3 linked regions of the Astyanax mexicanus genome follow. The protein of the gene in region 3 purifies or fractionates together with the protein of the main gene of each other region. This does not show direct contact. Links are inferred from orthologs where the notes say so. Each region holds a gene or a part of one and is shown on either strand. Other genes may lie near its edges.

What was found.
Region 1: the proteins of eif4a1a (region 3) and ibtk purify together in Homo sapiens (co-immunoprecipitation; 4 studies listed by BioGRID and IntAct, counting the BioPlex papers as one, with this or other methods). This does not show direct contact. The link is inferred for Astyanax mexicanus from reciprocal best matches to the Homo sapiens genes EIF4A1 and IBTK.
Region 2: the proteins of eif4a1a (region 3) and eif3ba purify together in Homo sapiens (affinity purification with mass spectrometry; 4 studies listed by BioGRID and IntAct, counting the BioPlex papers as one, with this or other methods). This does not show direct contact. The link is inferred for Astyanax mexicanus from reciprocal best matches to the Homo sapiens genes EIF4A1 and EIF3B.

What each region holds. Positions count from the first base shown.
Region 1 is NC_064413.1:27,037,281-27,045,735, forward strand, and holds the start of ibtk (inhibitor of Bruton tyrosine kinase), read left to right. Parts: upstream 1-3,016; 5' UTR 3,017-3,399; intron 3,400-5,899; 5' UTR 5,900-6,481; coding exon 6,482-6,805; intron 6,806-7,147; coding exon 7,148-7,244; intron 7,245-7,408; coding exon 7,409-7,533; intron 7,534-8,455. UniProt on the Homo sapiens protein: Acts as an inhibitor of BTK tyrosine kinase activity, thereby playing a role in B-cell development. Down-regulates BTK kinase activity, leading to interference with BTK-mediated calcium mobilization and NF-kappa-B-driven transcription.
Region 2 is NC_064410.1:55,936,879-55,945,333, forward strand, and holds the start of eif3ba (eukaryotic translation initiation factor 3, subunit Ba), read left to right. Parts: upstream 1-3,025; 5' UTR 3,026-3,049; intron 3,050-3,199; 5' UTR 3,200-3,313; coding exon 3,314-3,416; intron 3,417-6,741; coding exon 6,742-6,934; intron 6,935-7,030; coding exon 7,031-7,150; intron 7,151-7,246; coding exon 7,247-7,304; intron 7,305-8,455.
Region 3 is NC_064415.1:26,205,751-26,214,205, reverse strand, and holds the start of eif4a1a (eukaryotic translation initiation factor 4A1A), read left to right. Parts: upstream 1-3,958; 5' UTR 3,959-4,028; coding exon 4,029-4,051; intron 4,052-5,799; coding exon 5,800-5,848; intron 5,849-5,956; coding exon 5,957-6,089; intron 6,090-6,446; coding exon 6,447-6,586; intron 6,587-7,005; coding exon 7,006-7,174; intron 7,175-7,247; exon of another isoform or gene 7,248-7,387; intron 7,388-7,540; coding exon 7,541-7,650; intron 7,651-7,999; coding exon 8,000-8,143; intron 8,144-8,455. Other genes in the region: senp3b (sentrin-specific protease 3b), read left to right, coding at 1-90, 178-225, 373-450, 671-808, 933-1,016, 1,961-2,011, 2,272-2,382. UniProt on the Homo sapiens protein: ATP-dependent RNA helicase which is a subunit of the eIF4F complex involved in cap recognition and is required for mRNA binding to ribosome.

The sequences.
Region 1 (8,455 bases), on a different chromosome or scaffold from region 3:
AAATAAAAATGAGACATCATTTTGAGATACTAAGTCATTATTTTGATGTTATATAGTAATTTTAAGATACTGTCCCAATAGTTTAAGATATTATATCATTATTTTAGGTACATCTTAATTTAGAGATGTTTTCCATTAATTTTAAGATACTCTCACATTATTCTGAGGGGTTTTCTCGTTATTTTAGGATACTAGTTCATTGTTTTGAGATGTAATCTCATTATTCTAAGATGCTATCTCATTATGTTGCGATACTATCACATTTTGAGATGTTATCTTTTATTTTGAGATGCCATTTAATTTTGAGATACCTAATATATCATCAATTTGGTCATTTCATTATTTTGAGAAGTTGTCTCATTATTTTTAGATGTTACCTTATTAAGTTGAGTCATTATTCTGAAGTCAGTAAAAACTTTAATTTGTTCAAAATAACAACTTAATATCTCAAAATAATGAGATAGCAGTTTATGTAATAATGAGAAAAAAACATCTACAATATTTTAGTTAATGCATTCAGCTACCTAAGTTTCACTTATTGCTAAAAAAAAAAAAAGAGGTGCAATAGCACACACATGTCTAGTCCCTGTAGAGAAGTATTGCCAATAGAAATGGATTCTCTGGAAAAGATAAGCATGAACCAATTGGTGCCATGCCTAATGCCTGACATGGGCTACAGGTGGAGTAGAAGTGGGGCAGTGGAACTGTGTTCACTGGGCTGATGGCATCCTCTTGGTTTCAGATGAAACAATGTTTCTAATACTTTCAACAAAAGTAAAACAGACATTGAAATGCTTAAATTCACAGATCCTTTTTTTTTTGGGTGGACATAAAACAATGTAAAGTTTGTAGAACATTTTTTGGGTATTAATAAGCATTGTACCTAAGCAAAAGTAAACATACATTGTGATTTAAAAGGACAATAAGACAGTACTATACTGGTGCTGATGGAATAAAATCTCCAAATTTGGCCACTTTACAGGAGAAAGAAAAATATTCCTTTAAACTTTAAATCACAAAAGAGAGAACAGGTTTCATTTCCAGACCAAAAACGATATCCTACTTTAAATTCATTAATAATATGTAATTGCAATTAAATATTATTTATTGCTCAAACATGGATTCAAATTTCTATTAAAAATCAAATTAAACTGCTCTGATCTAAACACACTCTGATCACATGAGGCCGAGCATTGTCCTGCACCAGGATGAATTTGGGGCCAACAGTCAGACAGTGGCTCTATGGATTTCATATTGGTACCCAACAGTAGGATTGTACAACCCTCCTTGTGCAATCCAAAGGAGCAGATACTGGTCCTGCTGCTGGGTTAGTGACCTTTTTTAAAGAGAGTATTTTAGGATTTACAAGTGATATTTATAATTGAGGAGAATATATTTAGATATCAGTAGTGGCTATGTTTTTACTTGGGGTGCCAAATATCTGAATATCCGTTTTCTGGCTTGTGAATCATGTCCTGCAACCCCACACTCCTGCACTACTCCTGCTGTTCTAATTCTGGTTCAGTTGGCCAACCTGAGTCCCTGAGTACTGGAGTAAGGTCACTCCTGCAGCATATCACTACCCACAACAGCTGACCGAGAGAGTGCTCAGTTTGCACCCAGATAGTAGTCTGAATTACATAAGCCACAAAGCAGTGCTATTAGTGACATAACTGAAGGACACTTTTATTTATGCATATTATCCAGAAAGTTTAAAGTGGTAAAAAAAAATCCCAGACAAACATTAACCTTAGTGATGGTACTTTCAATGTAGAGTCAGAATCAGAATACTGTGTAGGCCAGGACTAGGTCTACATTTTTGTATAAAACACTGACTCATTGACTAATTGTCCTAAAGATGACAACGACCACTTATCCAACATTCCGTCTGACACCAAAGGTTAAATTGGGAATTTTAAATTGGGCATTGTGACCTCTTCAGGTTGGTATAAGCTCTGAGTATGTTTTACATGTGTTTGTCTTTGAGCATATGATTACAGCCAACCTCATTCTCATGTTAGTCCAATTTAGGCCTCATGTGCAGTGAATAACCCAGATGGGGCCCATGTTTAACACCTCCTGGTCTCATTACAGACTTGATGGGGTCCATCACTGACATTCATATGTGGAACCCATGGACAAACCTTTTTGATTTCCAGTTGGGCTACCCATAAAGGCCTTATTACCTGGGACCCAGGGGTTTCAGAAGCATTTTTAATGGGGGGTGGGGATGTATGGTCTTTGGATCCTTCCCCATAAAGTGCTTATGAATTAGATGCCATTTTCTGCATTCTGGTGTATTCTTAACAGGTTGTTCAACACCTAATTTTACTTACAAAAGTGACTTAAGTAAATAACTATTTCAGGGTCCGACACTATTCCCTTGTTAGTTTATTCCCTTGTTTTTATTATATTTAAAGCACATCCTATTTTTCTACCTAAAACATCCTAAAATACCTAAAATACAATTTTATTTTTTACATTATGTTGTTAGCATATATGAGGCCCTGGCAACTAAACTAACATAACTGAGAGGTAGATTTATTTGTAAAACATGCTATATCTGCTTGTACTGTAGTAAACATTTTTTTCTCTCTAAAACACCCCAAAATACAATTTCGTATATTTTTATATAATCAACCACAAAATCTGATCAATTTCTTTACCTGGTCGACGTTTTTATCAAGAGCTCCCATCTGAATGCTAGGTCTCTCTCTCTCTGCTCCCCGCTGCTCTCAACGCAGTTCCTAGCCCCGCCCACTACTTAGGCTTAACAGAAGTTAGTGAATTAAAATGTTAAAGCACAAATAAACTGTCGCACAAATAAAAAATAACCCTTTTTTACATCATATTTTTTATGAATGCTTATATTTCGAAAAAGACACTGTGGTAAATGTCCAGTGATGGAAACCTGTAGGTTACAGCTCTCGGTCAACGATTCTGTCCAGCCGGTGACGCAGGCGGGGGGACACCCTCGTGCTATCAGTGCCCCACATATGGGAGGAGAAGTTGCAGCACAGGGCTCCTCTAAACCTATCGACTTCCAGCCATGGGCACACTGAGTGCAGAAGTCGCTCATATTAAAATAGACATTTTTTAGATTGCTGAATGAGAAACTAGGCTACTTGTTATGTTTATAATCTAGACAGCTTTAAAGCTCTGGACTTTATGAGCCACATCCCCACAGCAGTCAGAGAGGCAGAGTCCAATAGAGGCGGAGGATACAGGATCCCCGGAGCCAATCCCAGCGCTCCTTACTGCTCTCTCGGTCTGTAACCTGTCCGGTCTGCAGCGCTACAGATCATTTATAAAAGCTAAAACATTCCTCTGAAGATGTGTCTGTGGATTTGCTACACTGACTCCGACTCAAACCCCAGTTTCTCCTTCATCTAACGGCAGGTGGGTGACAGAGCGGGAGCTCTGGGCCGGGCTGCTGTGAGGGTTTACAGCCTGTTTAACTGGTGATGTCATCCCAAATATGCTAAGCTAACGTCAGCTAGTTAGCCTAGCTTAGCTTTCTTCTCTTAACTTTGTAAAGTATTCCCCTAACTAGCTACTAACTATTCATGCCTTATATGCAGCCCTTAGCAAGAGTAGTTAGGCCCGTTTTATTTAAGAATATGTAGTTATAATTGTTTGTATATATCAGTGCATGCACACCTCTGTGTTGCAAAACAGTTAGCCCGCTAGCTAGCAGGTTAATGTCAGTTTGATAACTAGCTCTTCAAGTTACCCAACATTAGCTAAGTTTGTAACATAAACAGCTCTGTTCAAAGCTATAGCTAAAGCTAACACAACAGTGTTGTGTGACAAGTCCTGTAGCTACTTTTGGAGGAACATTTTGACTCTGAAATCCACAGCCTACATGTCAAGAGACACTCTTAACTCATAAAAAAAAACATTTTTTTATTCACAATATTCTTCCTTAACTTGAGAAGATGAGGGATTTGTTTTGTTGCTGAAGCTATAATTATGTGTGCAAAAATTACTGATGTATTATGTCTGTGCTCTACAGACATTATGTATATATGTGGCGCCATAGATATGATTGCATGGAGCATTATTCACTGTCTCACCACCGTTCTGACACATCCACACAAACCACTTCATACAACTACTCAAATGCCTTGTAGATTTGTAGAAATGTGAAGCGTTAAATTTGATCCATACAGGTAATCTAGTGAATCAATTTGCCAGTTTGAATGGAATTGCCCTGAAGATTAATCTCCCGAAATTGAAATGATCGGAAAAATAAAGTAAAAAAACAAAACAAAAAACTAACAAAAACATTACACATTACTTGAAAATTTGTAAAATTGTACTGGTACTGTTTTTAGCAGAGTAATGGAAAAAATATAAATATTTTTGTTGGTGTATTTACAGATGAAATACTTAGAAACATAGGTAAAGTTTATTAACAAAGTTTACTATGCACTAGGGGTGTCACGATCTCGATATTTTATCGAAATCGAATCGAAATGAGGTCACGATCTCGAGTATCGAAGTCAAAAAGAGGATCGACGATCCCTCCCGCGCGCGCTACGCAAATAGCGCAGCGCGCTACGCAAATGGCGCGGCACCAACACAGCGCATCCTATTCATTTAAATAGAGATAGCCACTGCATAAGCGCAGTCGGCGGGAGTGTGATCACTGTTTTTATCTGTCCAACGGGGGAGGGGGGGGGCGGGGGTTGGGCGCGCAGGTTTTGTATCTGTATCTAACGGAGGGGTGGGTGCGCGCAGGTGAGAGCGTGTGAACTCGCTGAAATGCGTGTGTCAGTGTGACTTGAGAACACTGACTATAGATCACAGTGAGGTGGATTAAAAATCTTAAACTTATAATTGACTACACCTGTTGCTTTCCATTGAATTAAAAAAACATCTTTCTCTCAGATAAAGTAAACACAAGCGTGTTTCTGACTAAAATAAAAGCTTTTCAGGAGAGATATAAGTTATGTGTAAATATTTATAAGACAATACCCACATCACTTATCTAACCAGCCTGTACTGATTTCTGCCCCCCAATAATGCTTTCAATAACCTCTTGTAACCCCTGGGAGCCAGGGGTTACACTCTAATAGCCTTTAATAGTCTTCAGTAGCCTTTAAAAGACTTACCTGGCGGCGTGGTGTGTCCACTAAACTCCGTAGTTATAAACATCCTGAGGTTAGCAGCGCGCTAACTGACCTGTTTATAATGTATTCCGAGCAGTGCCTCCGTGTCGGCTGTTCTAACCTGCTGCTGTTAGCTGCTTGGGCTGAAAGATGAACTGTAGTGAGCTGTATTATCCGGTTAGTGGGGTTAAAACCTTTATTTGTTTACAGAAACAGTAAAAACGGACTGGCTGAGCTCTGTAGCCCGTGGCTGGGCTGTACTGAAGTAGTGACTGAGTGAAAAGAGCGGGGCTTGTGCTGCTGCTGCTAGTGGTTGGATGAAGAACTGCAGCTTCATGTAATGAGCAGTTTCACCAGCCATCCACACACAGCTCTGATAAACTGCTTATTTTAATAGTGCACACTGTTGCTACCAAAAAAAGTCACTAGATGGCATTACCATATATATCTTAATAAATAATAATAATAATATTTATAATATTTATAATAATAATAATAATAATAATAAATATATTATTTAAATTTTATGAGGCATAAAATAATAACAAGAAAAAAAAACAAGAAAATCGAGAATCGAATCGAATCGTGACCCTCAAATCGAAAATGAAATCGAATCGAGGATTTAGAGAATCGTGACACCCCTACTATGCACAAAATGACAAACCCACAACACATTATTCTAACCCATAAAACATAAAAAAAAACTTTGTGAACAATTCTTGGAAAATACAGCATGCATCTTTTTAACTTGTGAATTAATCTGATGATTGTTATTTTCTGCACAGGTACCGTTTACAATTATGGAGGCTTAAAAAGATTAGTGTTGGGGGGAAGGAGTCTTTCCCCTCAAACTGGATGGACTGTTTTGATGGACTTTTTGGGTGGTTGAAGAGTTTGTTGCCTTTTGCACAATGATCTAAACTAGACTACAAGTGAAACAAGTATTTTTGAATAACTGAGAATATATTTATAAAACTTTTGTACATAAAAAATAGCCAAATATTTATCCTTTTTTGATGCCATTGATTGTTTTTTTTCTGCACTGGGTAGTGTGGGTTTTTGTTAATATGGTGGACTGAGGTGAGGTGGATATTCACCCTAGGGTTGCTAGGGTGCAGTGGAACCTCAACATATGCACAATTCTAGCACCCTGGGTTTTGGGGTCAGAGAGTGGCTTTTCATTTTGTGCTTCAAGTGTTTTTTCTTTGCTGATTTATTTTATTTTCTGCTTATCAAAGGAGTTGTGTAAAGGGGCTGAGGCTTTGCTGGTTGTTTTGGGGCTTATTCTGTTATAGGCTGAAACAGGTCTAGTTTACTCTGTTGGGGGAAAGGGGTATTACATTTTGCTGTTTTAGGAGGAGTGTAAGATGAGTGTGTTGACCCCGGAATGTACTTCAAAATGCCGCTCTCCACGCCATGCGGAGGAGATTGTGGCTGCTTTGACCAGTGGCTCAGAAGGCCAACTGAAGGCCTTCCTCTCAGCTTACTGCCACAATGCTGCCACTCTGCGAGATGAATTTGGCCGCACCGCTCTTCACCTTGCCGCCTCACTGGGCAAACGTGACCTCTTGGAGTGGCTTCTGGACAGCAAGAGTGCTGACCTGCTGGTCAAGGACAAGGAGTCAGGCTGGACAGCTTTGCACCGGAGTGCCTTCTATGGCCAGATCCATTGCCTCATGGCACTTGTTAAGGTGTGTTTCGTTTTATTTATTTTATTTATACTTGCCGTTTTGTTTTGTGCACTTTTATTATTTCTAAATCATTAATAGGGATGTAACAGTTGCTAAGTTTTAATACTGATCTACTCATCGTTATCTGCTTTCATGCTGATGTGTATTTTTCTTTTTTTTTATGATTCTGGTAATATCATATTTTATTTAGTAAAAAAAAATAGAAAGCCTATTTATAGTTCTCTATAGTTAGTTATAGTTCATTATTTATTTTTGTTTGGTAGATTACGTGACTGACTGCAAATGTAGTCAAACAATAACTTAATTTATTTTATTGGTTCATGTTGTGTCTTTGGGTTGCAGCGTGGTGGTGCAGTGTCTACTCTGGATAAGGAAGGCTTGTCTGTTCTCGACATAACTATGAAGGACCGCCCTGCACTTGTCGTTTTCCAGAGCTCTGGTAATTAATCCCATTCACATTTAAATCTGTTTACTAATATAAGAAATTAAATGCTAAATAAAGATATGTTGCATACTCACAATCTGATGTTGTGTTTGTAGCATAAAACATATTTAAATTTTTAAATTAAAATTCTTTACTTTTTTTTTTTCTTCACCTGTTAGATCCAACTGAAGTGTATACGTGGGGCAACAACGCCAACTTTAGCCTTGGGCATGGAAACCAAGAGACTAGGCACCATCCTGAGATTGTGGATTTGTTTGCCAGAACTGGAGTTTACGTTAAGCAGGTACTCTTGGTAGAATGTTTGTAATTGGTTGTTTTAGATGCTACTTTAATTTGTGGTAAAACAAGGGTTAAATAAGGGTCAAAACATAGTCAATAAATTCAATAAATTATCTTGGATATTGCAGTAAGTTTTCTTTCCTTGTACCTTTGTACTAAGAGAGGCACTTGTTTTCCTGGACCAGGACAGATAACTGGTAATTCCTACTTGGGATCCAGAGTGCCTGGCAAAGGCATAATTAGGAGTTGCACATAATGTGAATTTAGGTACACAATCTTCCTCAGCAGCACCATGCTTTTGTTAAACTTCTTCTGATAAATATATTATATTTAGAATTTTACACTACACTGAACTAATCAGTGAGCATCTAAACTAATCTTAGTAGCAAGTGCTTATGTAATTTTTGAGCAGTCCAAGTTAATTATCTCTCAATTCTGTCATCTGGAGGGCTCATTTGCATGTATATTCTCTGGTAGACAGTTAAACAATGTGTGTCTATGTGCAGTGGGGTAAGCTGATATGGAAATGCTGCTTAATCTCATTGTAGACCTTTCACTAGGGTTTTAAGCATTTCTGAAAATGCAGGCTGTGTGTAATCTCCTATGAGTTAGTGAGTGAAAGAATGGGAGAATGTAGAAGGTAAGGTTACATGTAGCAGGGTAGTAGTGATCTGCATAGCCTGGCCCCTGACAGCATGTTCTTTTCTTGTGCACTTTTATATTTGATGCCTTATTTGTGAAGGTAAGAGTCTGTTCCATTGACTAACAATTAAATAAAAAAAGTAAGTCTCAACAATAATCTCTCAATGCAACCATTAAGTGGTGTGCGGTTTTCTAATATAGATAATAGGCATTATTGAATGATATCACCTAACTATTAATCACACAAGGATGGCAGTTTTACTTCAATCTGTATAGGTTACCCA
Region 2 (8,455 bases), on a different chromosome or scaffold from region 3:
TTCATAAGTGTGAGAAAGTGAAGAACACTTTTTCTTTTTCTTTCACAAAGGTGCCCTCTGGTGGAGAAATAAAAAAAACTACTCAAAATACACCTCACATGAGCTCTGGTCCAGTTATATCAGAATTCACTTACTTTATCAATCAGTAATCCTGACCTCTCCAAATCCCTCTAATTTGACATGTTGGTTTAATAAGGTGTAACTACCAGATAATATAATATATTAAAGGAGACTTGTTATACCTCTTGGTACAAATATCTATATTACACTATATTACACTATATTACAGTCTACATATCTATATTACAGTCTATATATTTATATTACACTATATTACAGTCTACACTCAGCCCGCAGCATTGATAACATTTTTCGGTTGCGGGGCCATTTGATGCTGAGCGATGTTGAGAACTTGACCTAGCACTCAGTTCTGTATCTTTACAACTAAGGCTGTATCTCTGAAAACATTTTGTCCATTGAGTTTTAGAGCTTTGAAATTGACTGTGGGGTGACAGCAGGTAGGCGTTCTCTGCTGCAGTGCTGTTAGCCAATCAGAGGCGATATGTTTGCATGTATGAATATTCATGACCAAGAGCCAAAACCTGTCTTTCTCCAGAGACCTCTAATTCAGTGATCTAAAGCAGGGATAAATAGAAACACTGGCTCACATGGCATCCATTCATACTAGAGACTACAACTAGACATTTTTAAATGAATGAAAAAACGATAGAATGAGACCTTTAAGTCCTGGATGTGTCAGCATTTTTTGCAGCTAAATTAGAATATAATAGGATACAGTGAGAAATGGGGCTCTTATCTATATAGAAACCCTTTGCCTTGGAGTCTATAAAGGCTTAAAGCTCTGCCAAAAACCTGGGTGTCACTTTTGACAGCTTTAATACCCACAACGTCTGCAAAACAGCATTCTTCCACCTCAGTAATATATCCAAGGTCTGCAGGATTGACTCTCATGGCTGGATAACTGTAATGTGCTTTTTCTGGCCTGCCAAAGATCTCCGTTTCCAGCTTGCAGTGGTTGGGAAATGCTGCGGCGAGGATTCTGACCTGCACAAAAATGAGGGCTCATATTTCACCTGTCTTTAAAACAGCTGCTCTTTTCCCATCACAGCCGTTCAGGGGCTGTATTCTTGATGATCTGAAGACTCTTGATGATTGTGATTGTTGCACATTTAAAGCAATAAAAATAACAGCTTAAAATAATTTAATAATCCACTTATAATATAGTAGTGTAAAAGAAGTGTTTGCCCTCTTCATGATTTCTTATTTTATTGCATGTGTGTCACTCTTAAATGTTTCAGATCAGTAAACAACTGTAAATATAAGTAAATCACAATACAAGTAAACAATTTTTTTTATTATTATTAAGTGAGAAACAAATCCAAACCTACATGGCCCTGTATGAAAAAGTGTTTTCCCCCTAAACCTAATAACTGGATTGGCAGCTCTTAGCAGCAACAATTGCAATTAAGCGCTTGCAGTACCTTGCAATGAGTCTTTCACGTCTCTGTGGACAATTTTTGGTCCACTTTTCTACACAAAATTACTGTAATTATGCCACATTGGAGGATTTTCCAGAATAAACCACCTTTTTAAGGTCATGCCACAACATCTCAATACTGTTCAGGTCAGGACTTTGACTAGGCCACTCCAAAGTCTTCACCAGACCATCACACTACCACCACCATGTTTTACTGCTGGTATGATTTTTTTTTATGTTTCTTAAATGTTATTTTAAGAAACCAGATGTCAAGGGACACACCTTCCAAAAAGTTAAACTTTTGTCTCATCAGTCCAAAGAGTATTTTTTCCAAAAAGGGGATCATCAAGATGTTTTCTGGCAAAATTGAGATGAGCCTTAATTTTTCTTTTCAGCAGCGGTTGTTGTCTTGGCATTCAGGCCATTTTAGAGTCATGAATGTTGACCTTAACTGAGGAAAATGAGTCCTGCAGTTCTTTGGATGTGGTTATGGGGTATTTTGCGACCTCCTAAATGAGTTGTCGCTGAGACCATTGGTAAACCTCAAGTACATTCACACCAGATCCTTTACACCATTGCTAATTTTTAAATATTCATAATAACTTAAACATAATGTGTGTAATGTGAACAAATCTGTCCCTGAAACGCCTCACATGCCGCCTTTTTCACCAACAACAAAAAAACACATATTTGAGAGACGACCTGTAGCTTTCTAAAGGGAAATAAATGCGTTAGCAGCATATGTGGAGCTTCTTTTGCTGGAGTGGAGAGCAAACGGCTGGTCTGAAGTTTATGCTCAGCTTTGCAGCTATAGCATGTAGCCCATGCATAAAAGCAAAAAGACTTATGAATTCTGATTGATTCGACCGTTTACATTCATGTCGCATGTACATGGATCAGGTACGTATCTGATGTAGGACCATATATGGTTTTGGCTCAGATCTGATTCGAAAAAAAAAATGGATTTGGCACATTCACACAGGCATGAAAAAATATATGAGTAACTTCAGCCTGGTAATGTGAACATAGCTTTAATTATCTTACGCCCACATCTTAGTAAGTCGTGGCAATTACTTAATTATCTCATTCCCATGCACTAGAATATCAATCCCACGCCTTAATAAGTTGTGGCCATGCATTCATTTTTAACATGTTCTCACTTTAGGGGCTTCATAGGGACCATGCAATAAAATGTACATTATACAGTGTGTGACCTGATTCTGAGTATAAGGACTGGAGTCTAATGGAGAATGAATGTAGCCTTTGCTTAGTTTTACTGAATTGTTTAAAGTACTGATCTTCAAAACACGTGCTAACGTGTTGTATGCGTACATATGACATACAGATCATGCAGTACGTGCCCGGCCGGCTGCGTCACGCGCACAGCGTTCACTCACAGCGTGGCTCACGCACAGACAGACGTACAGCGCACGGGAAGCGAGCTGCTGGAACCGGCTCAGTGGGAGAAACCAAGTTCTCGAAAAAAGGGGGGAGACATAACTAGAACAGCATTTGGACAGGTTTTACACCAGTTTGACTCAAAATAAGCAGGTATGCTCATGCGCAGCAATGTGTTTATTTTATAAAATAAATTAAAACATGTACGAAGTTGTCTAAATGTATTTAAAGGGTTATAATTTACGCCCTATATCAGTGTTGAGCGGGCTGGGCTCACATGGCCTGTTCCTTTTCTCTGCGCAGGGGGGTTCGCGCCGGCGGCACCGCACATGGTCCTGCGAGGAAAAACGCTGGATTACGGTTTTTAACACCCGCGAATCGCGCTAATCGCCCGGTATTGTCCACAGCGAAGCCTCGATGAGAGATACGGAGGATATGGACGCAGAGCTGGAGTTTGATGAAGGCGAGGAGCCTTCGTTCAGCGACCCGGAGGACTTCGAGGATGATATCAGTGATTCGGGTAGGTGGCTGGGAGAGCGGCCGGCCCGGCGAGGCCCGCCTTCGGCCGCGGATTTCGCTGATACCGCGGTCATGCGGATTTCGGTAGCTAGGCTTATATATAATATATTTCATTAGCGTTATATAATTATTTGGGTTGTGATCATAAGCTGTGTGGTTTGCTGTTGAAGTAGTGATTCGGGAGCAGCAGCTGGATGCAGCAGGCATGATCATTCAGTGCCCGTTAGCTTAGCTTAGCTAACGTTAGGTTAGTTAGTCGGTTGATTAGGCCATAGCTTAGCTTAGTTACGCTATCAAATACAAAATCTAGCGTAATTAAGCTAAGCTAACAGCGGCTACCTGGATAAACAGGCTCACATAAACTACGTTATTTAGCTAACATAAGCAATTCTGTTAGTGTCTGCGAAAGCCCAATTTATTATTTAATTTTTAGCTGAATAAATAAGTTAAGTTAGCTATTTAATACGCCATAGCAGCATCTGAACCGGTGTTCTGTCGACTTCTGCTACCCATCAGTACCTGCTTTCGAAAGGCACTGCGCATGCGCCAACATACATTTTTTCATGCTCTTTTTTTTATAATAATTCTTTTTCTGTGTTTTTTGTTCGTTTATCAACCTTACATACATTACATACAACTGTAAATGACAATTTAATAATGTTAGTAATATGTTATTACCGTTATAATGTAATATAATATTGTATACAATATGTATTATTAATAAAATGCAAAAGCAGATTCGAATAACCTCTTATTTCCATAACTTCTCCCTGAGACTGTGCTTTATTGTGTCCAAGAAAAGCACATAGACTTTTACTGGAAATATTCTAGGTTTTAATATTGTACTTTTTGTGTATTTTAACCTTTTAAATATGCACCAGAGACGCACAGATTGACAAGGTAGCAGAACTCGACAGAACACCGTACAACATGCTAGCTAGCTTAGCTTAACGTTAGCTGTCTGGCTAACAAGCGTGGACAAAGCTACTATCCGTCTATGCTAAGCTAAAGTATTCTAAGCTATGCTAAGCTAATGAATGAGGCGTGCCTGACAGTTGGGTCACAATGTAACTTAAGTAAATAACTTTATTTTATGTGCTAATTAAGCAATCTATATGCCTTCCTCACGAACAACATGTATCCTTAATTATTAATAAATAAATACACGATAACCAAATTGATTGTTTCTCACTAAATTAAATAATGTCAAACCCACTATTTTAACATTTAGCTACTAGGATTGTGCAGTACATGTATTGTTAGCTAGTTATATATGTTTTAGTTATATTATGGCATGGTGCTGTCTCCAGGCAACAATACATTTCACATTTGGTGACTTTCCCTGTAAATTTATTTACTTAAAAATGTATAGCTATATGTCCTGCACATGTCTGCAATACATTTATCCTACATTTCTTATTTAAAAAATACAAAAAGTGTTTCCTTGCTATATAATGTGTGTTAGATTTATATTTTAAATACATTTAGATTGTAAGTCTTTAAATTACAGGTGAGCATTATGGCTCTAAAATAATATTACAATATTTCATGGTATTTTCACAATAACGATACTTTTGGCGATGTGACAAAACACTGAATATACAATAATATTTTGTATCACATTTGACACAACTGATATATCTAACCTCTAAATGGAAGTGATCTGTCATGTCATTTGTTAGTTTGCAAAGCTGCTAGGATATGTATATTTATGAAATTTTGATATATAATAATTATTAAATTTAACTAGGCCTGTCACAATTTTTTATATGGACATGACCTCAATATTTTCCACTGTGAAATTAGTCTGCATTGGCCTTGTTTATGAGCAGTGTTTTAGATGTGTCATTCTTAAATAATTTTGGATTCTGATTTTTAAATATTTTTAATTCAAGTTCAAGAATTAATTGTAAATGCATTATTATACTATTTTATTATCATAATATCACTGTCATTAAATTGTTTTAAAAGGAGAGTGTATTTTTATTGCAATTATTTCTTTGTTTTAGACCTAAATATATGTAACAGTGTTACACTGCTCCTTAAAGGGCTACACTTGCTCACTTAAAACATCTTAAATAAGACCAGCCTCAAAGACATGTTATCAGTGGTAATGTTATCTAATTGAGCAGCTGAATGTAACGGTTTGCTTGTAATTGTAGTTGGCAGTTTCTACAGTAGTTCTTGTAAGGGTTTTTAAGTCCTGCTCCTGAAGCCCTGCCAAGTGTATTATTGAATAGAACATCCATTATAATCTAGAGAAAGGCTTCTTAGTAGGGCTTTTGTTTCAGGTGTAACAAAAACAAAACTGTATTCCAAAAGAGAATGGTGCAAAAATGGTTGTTTTAGAAATGCCAAAGAGTTACTAGAGGTGGAAAAATAAGTTTTATTGTAGCTTTATATTTTAATATATATATTTTTTGTTGTATCCACAATACTTTAGACATATCAAGGACATCAGTAATTAAAGAATACCTAATTTTACATTTTATAAAAAAAAGCATAATTAGACCTGTTTAATTGGACGAGATATTTTGAATGAATCACATGTATCGAAATATTTGTTGTGTGTTTTCCAGTTTTAAGTTGTATTTTTTTAAAAACGTTTTTGCTAATTTATATAGAGGGATGTATGTATGTATACATACATACACACACACACACACCTTAACAGCTTAGATATTCTTAGAATTCCCTCTATATAAATTAGCAAAAACGTTTTTTAAAAATACAATTTAAAACTGGAAAACACACAACAAATATTTCGATACATGTGATTCATTCAAAATATCTCGTCCAATTAAACAGGTCTAATTATGCTTTTTTTTAATAAAATGTAAAATTAGGTATTCTTTAATTACTGATGTCCTTGATATGTCTAAAGTATTGTGGATACAACAAAAAATATATATATTAAAATATAAAGCTACAATAAAACTTATTTTTCCACCTCTAGTAACTCTTTGGCATTTCTAAAACAACCATTTTTTATATACACACACACACACACACACACACACTCATTACTATTTGTTTTACTCTCCTAGTTGATACACAGGTTGCATAATTAATATATGTTTATTTTTTTCAATTATCATTCAGCCCCAGTGAATTTGTCTTTGGAAATTGTTATGTAATGTTTTTACCATGTGTTCAGAAGAACTTGAGAGTTTGTTTCCCACCAAATGTAGAATTAAAAAATAAATTCTTAAAAAATGCTTCTATATGGATTAATTAAATGACTATCAAAAAATCAATTTGTCGCACCTTTCAAGAGTGTATGTTTCTGTTGAATTTTCACTTTATACTATTCTTGGCCTTTGCAGAGCTGCTGGGAGACATCCTCAGGGAGAAACCTCAGGAGGCTGATGGTATCGACTCGGTCATTGTCGTTGACAATGTTCCTCAAGTAGGACAAGACCGTCTGGAGAAACTCAAGAATGTCATCCACAAGATCTTCTCAAAATTTGGCAAAATCACCAACGAGTTCTACCCAGAAGCAGACGGCAAGACCAAGGGGTGAGTGCAGGTTTGACTGCCTGTGTTGTGAAAGTAGGTTAAGTTGAATTTGTCTAATAATGGATGAATCTCTTGCGTCTGCTCTCTGCTGTTCAGGTACATTTTCCTTGAGTATTCTGTTCCAAGTCACGCACACGAAGCTGTGAAGAACGCTGACGGCTACAAATTGGATAAGCAGCATACTTTCCGTGTCAACCTGTTCACTGACTTTGACAAGTATGTTCTGCTCAATTAAGCATTTTTAAAATGTTTTTTGCCTATTTCTGAAACACTATATTAATTTAAAATGCGTGTTTAATTTATCATTTCTAGGTACATGTCAATCAGTGATGAATGGGAACCTCCTGAGAGACAACCCTTCAAAGATTTTGTGAGTAATACAGACTTTTAATAGCACAACACATTACTGTGATAGATTTTTAGTTTATCTAAAGCCTGATAATGTTTGTCCAGAAGTCCACTCATCTTTTGACTTTTACCTTTCAAGAAACATGACACTTAAACCCATTGTCTTTGTCAAGCAAAGCTTTAAGGAGACTTATATCATTTGCATCACATGAGGTGGATTGAAATTGTAGATCCACGCTCCAGCTCCACCCAAAGAGTAATTGTTATACAAGATAAAATAAGAATAAAATAAAGAATAAAATGTATAACAAGATAGACATATATGTACAAATGTACTAAAGAAGGAGCGGCAACTCGAAATCCAGAGAGCAAAGGCATAAGGCACAGTTGCTGTAGCAGCATGGATGAGCATGAATGAAGAGCAGCAGTATGTTGAAGTGTGACAGTGCGGAGAAAGTGTCAGCAAAAGCATTGTATCTCCAAAAAGTGTAAATTTACAGGAGAACGTATCCACTATCATTTGAAGTTATTATAAGAAGTGTTTGTTTTAAATCATTTTGGGAATATAAAAACTACGTGAAGATGAGAATGGCAGTGGCCATGTTTACCACGCTTGTGCTAGAAAAAGATGGGATGTGACCTCAGTCTTAACCTGTCCCTGCAGCACATACACTAGTAAGCAAAAACAAAGTGATGGTATGAGCACACACAGCTGGAGTGAATAAATAAATAAGATAAATCCAGGGTTTGCATAATGTTGACTATTAATATTAATACTTTTGGACAATACTCCTTAATATTGTCCAAAACTAATAGGATACAGTGGTGGTAGTGATTAGAAACTGTGCGTAATGTCAAACCAGCTGTGCTGGTCTAACTTTAAGGTTGGTAATTTGATACCTATATATATATATATATATATATATATATATATATATATATATATATATATACATACACAGGTGCTGGTCAACGAATTAGAATAATTTGAAATAGTGCAATCATGAAATTCTTTGAATGCATTTTTTGTGCAGAAAGCAAATCAGGTGTTCACCGCACCTGTCCTACTCGTTAGACTAATCACAGAACTCGTTACCTGGAAAAAAAAAAATTTGCTCAGCTGAGCTTTCCAAAAGGCCCATTTAGGCCATTTAACTGTGACACTGTTGTTTT
Region 3 (8,455 bases):
GTGCGAGGGTTCAGTGTGAACTACAAGCGCCATGTCCTGACCATGGATGATCTCAGCACCCTTTATGGGCAGAACTGGCTTAATGACCAGGTAAAGAATGGAAAGTTGTAATTAGGATAGTTAAGTGTAACTCTTATAGTTAATTATTTATTTTCCCTGTTGATCTGTTTATTTCAGGTTATGAACATGTATGGGGACCTTGTAATGGATACAGTTCCTGACAAGGTGAATATGACACTTACATTCTTTGTGGACAAAATACACAAAAACAATATCTTGTGAAAGTAAGCTGTCATTGTATATGATATGATTTAGGTCATTTAATGGGCTGAATGCATATAAAATAAATATTTTTTAATCCATGTTTTCTAGGTTCATTTCTTCAACAGTTTCTTCTATGACAAGCTCAGAACTAAAGGTTATGATGGGGTTAAGCGGTGGACAAAAAATGTAAGATTTTTCCTCTGATTTAAAAGAGATTATTTTTTTTACTGATCCAGTCATTTTTTTTTCATGGTTCTTCATTTGAGACTACACAAAGAAACAGAATGGAATGGAAGTCTTATGCCTTTAGAGCCTTTTGTTGTTTTCGATAATACCAATGGAAGTCTTATACTTGTGTGTATTTGTGTGCGTAATACATTTGGTTTTCTTTACACACTGATTTCAGGTTGATATCTTCAGCAAGGATCTACTCTTGATTCCTATTCATCTGGAAGTGCATTGGTCACTAGTGTCTGTGGACATTAAGCAACGGTTCATCACCTACTTTGATTCCCAGCGAACTCTTAACCGTCGCTGTCCCAAGGTCAGCACCTCTTGTGTGCTTATTTGTTTTCTAATTAGCTTTTGTTAATTTTTTCCCAGCGTAAACTTGCAGGCATGCTTCTAACCAGCTTCTAACCAGTTCTCTTTCCTTATTCTTCTTGTAGCATATTTTTAAGTACCTCCAGGCAGAAGCTATCATAAAACAACAGAGAGATTTTCTCACAGGGTGGAGAGGCTTTTTCAAAATGGTAAGTTATTCAACACCTGACTAATGACCACAAAGTGTTTCTTAAGAAATGTATGGGTCACTGTACATGTTTCTTTGTATGTATTTGTCTCTTATTTTTATAAAGATCAAAATTACATTAGATTTAAAGGGATTCACCGGTATTAACAATTTCAGATATACAGACCTAAAACAGTAAAGATCCCAGGTTGTGTCTATATAGACCATTCCTCCCATACTGGCTTTAAATAAACAGTCAGTCAGTCAGTCTGCAACGAAACTGTTGTATCACCTCTTTGTGATTTTGTTGCTCATTGTAAGCCAGCGTGCTAATCGCTCAGATATGTCTTAAGCTGAAAAGAGCTGCCACACAAATTGCCCAGTGCCGCAACCGAGACAGTTATATATACAGTTTTATGATAAAAAAACAATAATGTTCCATAAGGTATTGTAGTGAATATGCATTTATCTGGCCTTTGCTCACTTTTGTAATTTATTGTTTGTGGTAATCAAGTTAGCTAGCATGTTTTGCATTTTGTTTCAGTAATTGGGTGAATGTTCACCATGCAATATTATTATTTTAATAATTTTACAATTACTGATTTCCCACCTAAATAGAGACTTTTTGTATAGCCAAGCTTCTAGTTTAGCCCCAGCTCACTTCTATTTCACATGACAATGTGAAACATGAATGTGTATTATGACTTTGACCTGCATTGGTTACGTTTTGCTCATCTTGTTTGTTTGTTTTTTATTTGATTGTGCAGTGCTGGCTGATATATAGCCTCAAGTATTGAAAAACTAGACCTGGATTTCTCGCCAAATTTTTTTCTCTCCAACTTTTCAGTTTTCAGTGTTGTTAGAAATTTAGATATTGGGTTTGTAAACTGCTTACATTAGTTATTAGTATATGATGGTTTATGTTCTGAGTTTGCTGTGTTAACAGAGGTCATATCTGTGTTTTAGAATGTAGGCCGACAGAATAATGACAGTGACTGTGGGGCATTCGTTCTTCAGGTAAGTAAAAAAACTAAATCACCATGCCACTTTCTACCATTTGGAAAGGTATGATTTTACTTAATTCATTTATTTTTATTTTTTTCTGAACAAATTTATTTAAAATAGAGTTCCAGTGTATTAAAGAATTGAATTTCATCAACTATATCTAAGATATGTAGAAATATATATATTATACTTTGGTTTCTGTTTTGTACCTGATCTTTTTTCCCCAAATATTTGTCCACTTGGTCTGAGTCTCTTACTCTGTTTTGTTCTAGTACTGCAAGTGTCTGGCATTGGGACAGCTCTTTAGCTTCAGTCAGCAGGACATGCCTAAACTGAGGAGATTAATGTACAAAGAGCTTTGCCACTGCAAGCTCTCACTGTGATACTTATGTCAAAGCAATGCAGCCAGAGGAGGAAGAACAAAACATCTGGAAACTTCCATCTGTGTAAAAAAAAAAAAAAAAAAAACAGGACATTGCTGGACACTGCATTATCAAACCCACTTGTTTGTTTTTGTTTTGTATCAGTGTTACTTTCTTGTGCTTGTGGTGGCCAATGTCTTTTCTAATGGCTGCTTTGTTGAAATGTGGCATTTTAATGGGAGCCATTTTGGACTCTTGCAAGAGGCTTCCAAAGTGTTTTCTATGATTTTGCCTCCGTCTGTAAAGGTGTTACAAATCTTTTTTTTAATTGTGGGGAAGTGTCATGTTACTCAGATGTGCAAGCATAATCATATTTCACTTTTATTTTTCAATAAATCATGCCTTATGAAAATGAATGAGTGAGTGTGGTTAAATAACTGTTGGCAACAAGTATATTTTGTACATTGGAATGTAATAATAATATGCTTAATAATAATACACTATATACATAATACATAATATCATTGCCAGGTTTGATAATGGATATTTTGAGTTTATTTTTAGATTTTGGCAACACGGTGCAATGTATTGCATTTTTTTTTCTCTTGTATTAGGTTCTGGTTGTAATGTAATTATTTACATTGCCAAAAGCAGAAAAAATGTCATATCAGATTGTCAGTCTTTCTTTGAAAAAAAAAAATGATTACACTAGATTATATTAGATTAGATTATACCACAGTTTTTGGCTATTTCAACCACATATTTTGTGTAGTTCCAGTGTAGCAACACATACCATTTACAATGAACTGTAGAGTAACTGGTCAGGTTGAATGTACTTTATAATCTTAGTTCCGATGATTGTATGAAAAGTTGGTTCTTTTCAGTAGCCTGCAAAAATCTTGTATCCCAAAAATGTTAGGAGAGGTTACTTGAGAAAAAAAACCCTTATTAGTTTTATTTCAGTGGTAGAAAAATGTGAAGTAAAGTGGTAAAAGATTTCTTGGGGAAAACAAAGTGACATTAACTTAATTAAACTGAAAACTTCTGCTTTCAAACTGTCAAAAAAGTAAAGAATCATTTTTTCTGTGACTTATTTGTGTATATATATTTTTTGTATTATTTTTCATTATTTTTATCCTCCTTGAAGAGCTCTTGACCAGCAAAGGGTATGATAACCAGCTGGTCCTAAGCTAAATTGTTTTAGCAGGGTAGTTGATCAGTGTAATGTGAATAAAAAAGAGACTGAACATTTTAACAGCAAATTAGGGTATGAGAGTAATAAAAGAAATACATTTAAAAGTTTTTTAAAGAAATAAAGTATATTTGTCTGAATATTTACATTTGTCTACATAGGACATTTGTCTACATATGAGGAAATTCACAGTAAAATACTTCTTATATGGATAGACCAATCTACGCAGTCATATTTTCTATTCTAAAAGCTGATGTACAAAGAAACTGATTTAGAGAACAGACTGTGCCTTGACGTCAAGCCTGGGGCGGGCTGTGCCAGGGCGACGTGACGAATTTAACGTTTTAACCTATGAGGTGTCACGTTGGAAAGCCTTGGTTTTGATTGACGAGACTCTCCTCCAATCACAATTGTTCAGGCCTCGGTGCCTTGGCGTATTTAACACATTTCCGCCGTTGTGCTGTTCTTTGTGATAATGTCGGCTGAACATGAGGATAGGTAAGTGAGGGCTGGGAGAGTAGCGTGGGTGCTAATTTACCCTAATATAAATTTCTATATATATTTATATATTTAAACACGTTATTTGACTCGTTAGATATCTACATTTGGGCAGCGGTGGAGCGAGTTGACCTGGATGAGTGTTAAATTTAGATTAACCGGACTGTGAAGCGAATAAACGGCGGGGCACGGCAGAACGCTGGTTTAAGCTAGCTTAGGTAGATAAAAATGCGAGAATTGTTAGTATTAATGTCGGTAAATGCGTGTATTGTGTTTATTTAGGTCGGATTAGTTCTGTATCGATGTTAATTTGGTGTTTTAGCCCGTTTTCTATCCTTATGTTAAAACGTGCCGGCTCCTGTAACACAACGTGACCTGACCGGTTAGCTCGGTAGCTTAGCTTAGTTTAGCTGAGCGTGTCAGTTAGGTTAGCGGTGGCGGCCTGGGTGCCGGTGTTTTGTCGAATTGGTCTACCCGTTGATATGTGCTTTTTACGACCAGTGCGCATGCGCATTTTAAAGTTTATATAGTTATGATATGACCATGGAAAATACAAAAAAGTGGTTCTAATCACCCATTGTCATTTAACAGAACCCTAAAATATAGAATTTAGACTTTCCAAAATTCATACCGAGACTTTTTTTTTTAGCGAGCAACTTTTTAAATGTGCTTTTTTTTTTCTGGTATTTTTTTATGTTTAAATACACACTTTGGTAGCACGATTTGGTAAGGTAGCACATTTCGACAGAACACCGGCTCGTGGGCCGCACATGGCGCTTCTTCCTCCCTTTCTCTGTTCAGCGCTGTTTTCACTCAACATGTTTAGTACTGTTTTACGCTTTAGTTATTTCGATCTAAACATTTAAAATAAACCGGATTGTAGGGCTTTAGCGCCATAATACACGATTTCTGTGTGTGTTTGAACTAATTTCGATGAGAAGACCGGAGCACATGGCCTGCCGGTTTGGACAATGGAGAATTCCGCTATATGGGATGAGCAGGCCGGAGTCTAGTTTAGCTACAAGCTAAGCCAGGTTTATCGCTCCAGTCACTTCGGATTTGAAGAAATTTGAGATTAATAGTAGCCAGATTAGCTCACTCTTGATCTCTAAACTAGATTATTATAGTTAGATAACCCAGATTATATTGCTCATTCGTCTCTAGCGAGCTGCGTTTCGCAGGTTAGCTATTCGCTGCAGTCAGCTAACGCCTAGCTAGTTAACAAGCTAAAGCTAACATGCTTTACAAAGATCTATGCTTAGCTAAAAAAATCTGAAGTATTCGTAGTCTAAAGTCATGTAAAACAATAGTAGTGCGTGTTGTCTCTTCAGTGTTCCTCTTTAAATGTTATATTAACCCGATTGCCTGTGTAAAATCTTAATGTAGCTCTGTAGCCTAGCTCCTCGTTAGCTAGCTAAGCTAAACTCGTGTGAAACGTGAGGGCAAAGATGGCGCCCTCCAAAGCCTTTTTCACAGAAAACTGCGACGTGTCTGGCGGTGTCCGCTCCCCCTCCATCTTAGCTAAATCTTCTATCCACGTCCTTCTCATTTGATTAACTTTTCTGTTTTAAACCAACGATTACCTTTGTTAAATTCGGTCTTATTTATTGAGGCAGGTGAAAAGTGACTATGAAAATTGGAGCTTTAATTTGAAATCCAAAATCTCAATGTGTCTGAAAGATCAAATTACTCTACTTTCTTCCAATACATGACATTGCATTAATTCTGGTTTGTTCTCCTCCTTTTAGACCTAGAGACAATGGCCCCGAGGGCATGGAGCCAGATGGAGTCATTGAGGTGTGTTGAATATCTTTTTCAATCATCCATCTGTCTAATTACCTGTAATTGTGTTTCTGAAAAGTTCGTTGTTACAGGTTGACTAAAGTACTTCTGCTTATTCCACAGGGCAACTGGAAGGAAGTCGTCGATAGTTTCGATGACATGAACCTCCGTGAGAATCTTCTCAGAGGAATCTATGCCTATGGTTTTGAGAAACCTTCTGCTATTCAGCAGAGGGCTATTCTCCCTTGTATCAAGGGTACGTAGACAATATTTCTGTGTAGAATAGTCAACCTTTTATATACGTATGGTCGATTCACACATGAGTCACCATGTGCTCTTGTGAGTTAAATGCACCAATACTTTTTTTACTGTTGTGCCTCCCTTATCATCTGGGCAAGGAAGTGCCTGCTAGTGGCAGATTCCTATATCTGTTAGGGGAAGATCAAACACAGCCCATATTCATCCCAGTCTACTCACCACTATGAGCAAAAGACTGTTTCATGGTATGGGTACAGATTGCAAGCTGTTCCTACAGTAGATTTCTGCTGATGGAAAGCCTCTCTTTATTTTGCCAGTCTTGGCCTGTCTTAAATTTTGACTTTTATTTTGACAGGATACGATGTCATTGCACAGGCTCAGTCTGGCACAGGGAAGACTGCCACCTTTGCCATTTCCATCCTGCAGCAGATTGACATTGAGATGAAAGCAACACAGGCCATGGTCCTGGCCCCCACCAGAGAACTTGCCCAACAAGTAAGATCCAGTTACATGCGTGAGTAGTTCTGTTCTGTTGTGAGGTGACGCAAATGTTTTAGAATGACCCTTGTCATCTGGGCAAGGCAGTGGTCTGTCAGTGGCACCTAGTCCTATATCTGATAGGGGAAAATTGAAATTACCCATTCATCCCAGTCTACTCAGTACAGTGAGATAAAGACTGTTTCATGCTATGGGTACATATTCAACATGACTCACCGCTATGTTACTCATCATTTACCACCAGTTGTGAGTCATTGAGTTCTTAAGCTGTGAGGTGGGTTACAGCATTACTTGGTTTGCTGACTAAATGGAATTTTTTTTTTTTTTTTCTGTAAACACCAGTTAGGTTCAGATTTGCCTGGCCCTTGTAGATTTCTTTTTTTGACATACCTTTGCTGGTGTCTGTTCATGTTTAGATCCAGAAGGTAGTCCTTGCTCTTGGAGACTACATGGGCGCTACCTGCCACGCCTGCATCGGTGGAACCAATGTCCGTAATGAAGTTCAGAAGTTGCAGGCAGATGTGCCCCACATTGTTGTGGGCACTCCTGGGCGTGTTTTTGACATGCTTAACCGACGGTATCTCTGTAAGCAATTTTTTTTTCTTTATCCTTTTTTTTTTTTTTTTTTTCCTAAATGGTGAGCTCCGTGAGATTGAATGCTGTAATGATGAACCCTTATGCGTGTCAACTGACTCTGTAGTACCCTGTGCTTCCTGGCCGCTCTTCAACGTTCTGTTGGGGGTGCGTTTGGGGCCACAGGTCTCCAGAGGCATGATCAGACCTCATTGACCTGAACGCAGCATTACCCCAGTCTTTTTTTTTTTATTCTTTGTGGGTGGCCCCCACATAGTTTACATTTTATTTAAATCAAAAATTAACTTGCTACGCTGACTAGCTTTTTTTTTTTTTTTTTTTTTGTGCATTCTGTTTATATCTACATTCCTCTTTCAGCTCCCAGACACATCAAGCAGTTTGCACTGGATGAAGCTGACGAGATGTTGAGCCGAGGGTTTAAGGACCAAATCTATGAAATTTTCCAGAAGTTGTCTTCGGACATTCAGGTAAAGCTTTTCCATCCATGCATGTGTACTGACGCGCAATGTGACAATGTTTATTTGTTAAAATGGTTCAGGGCTTGCCAAAGTTCCCTCTTCCCCCCCAGCTCTCTCTGCTGGGAATGGAATCAAGTTCTTTGGTAGAGAAATTACTGTTCTCCACCGTGACTGGGTTACTCTGTCCCTTATCACAACTATATATCAGTAGACAAAAGCACATCTATAAGCAATAAAATGTACTTTGTTATACTGAAGTATTACCATAGTCACTTTGTTTGGGACACATTGCGCTAGTTTTGTTACACTAAATGGGTTGCAGTTAAAGCAGGAACTTTAATATTCTGTTTTCCTACAGGTGATTCTGCTGTCGGCCACCATGCCACAGGAAGTGCTGGATGTCACCTCTAAATTTATGCGCGATCCTGTGAGGATCCTTGTCAAGAAAGAGGAGCTGACCCTGGAGGGTATTCGTCAGTTCTACATTAATGTGGAGAAGGAGGTGAAGGAGCTTCTCAAACTTGTCTAATGTTTAATGTTATTCTCCAACACAACTAATTATAGTAATACAATTTTTGAACAGGTACTTGCATTAGGGCCTCACAGTGATTCCAAAGCTGTTTCCAAAACTGCACTATTCACTGTCCTCTACATGTTTGAGTTTAGCTGTAGTCAGCTGAATTAACATGATGGATAATGGGTGATTTGTAAACGTTTATGAACCATTTTGGGATTCAGACTGCCCAAAAATTTAGTGCTGCGTTTTTAGACACTGCAACAAAATGGTGGCATCTCAGTAGTTCACTTTAAAGTG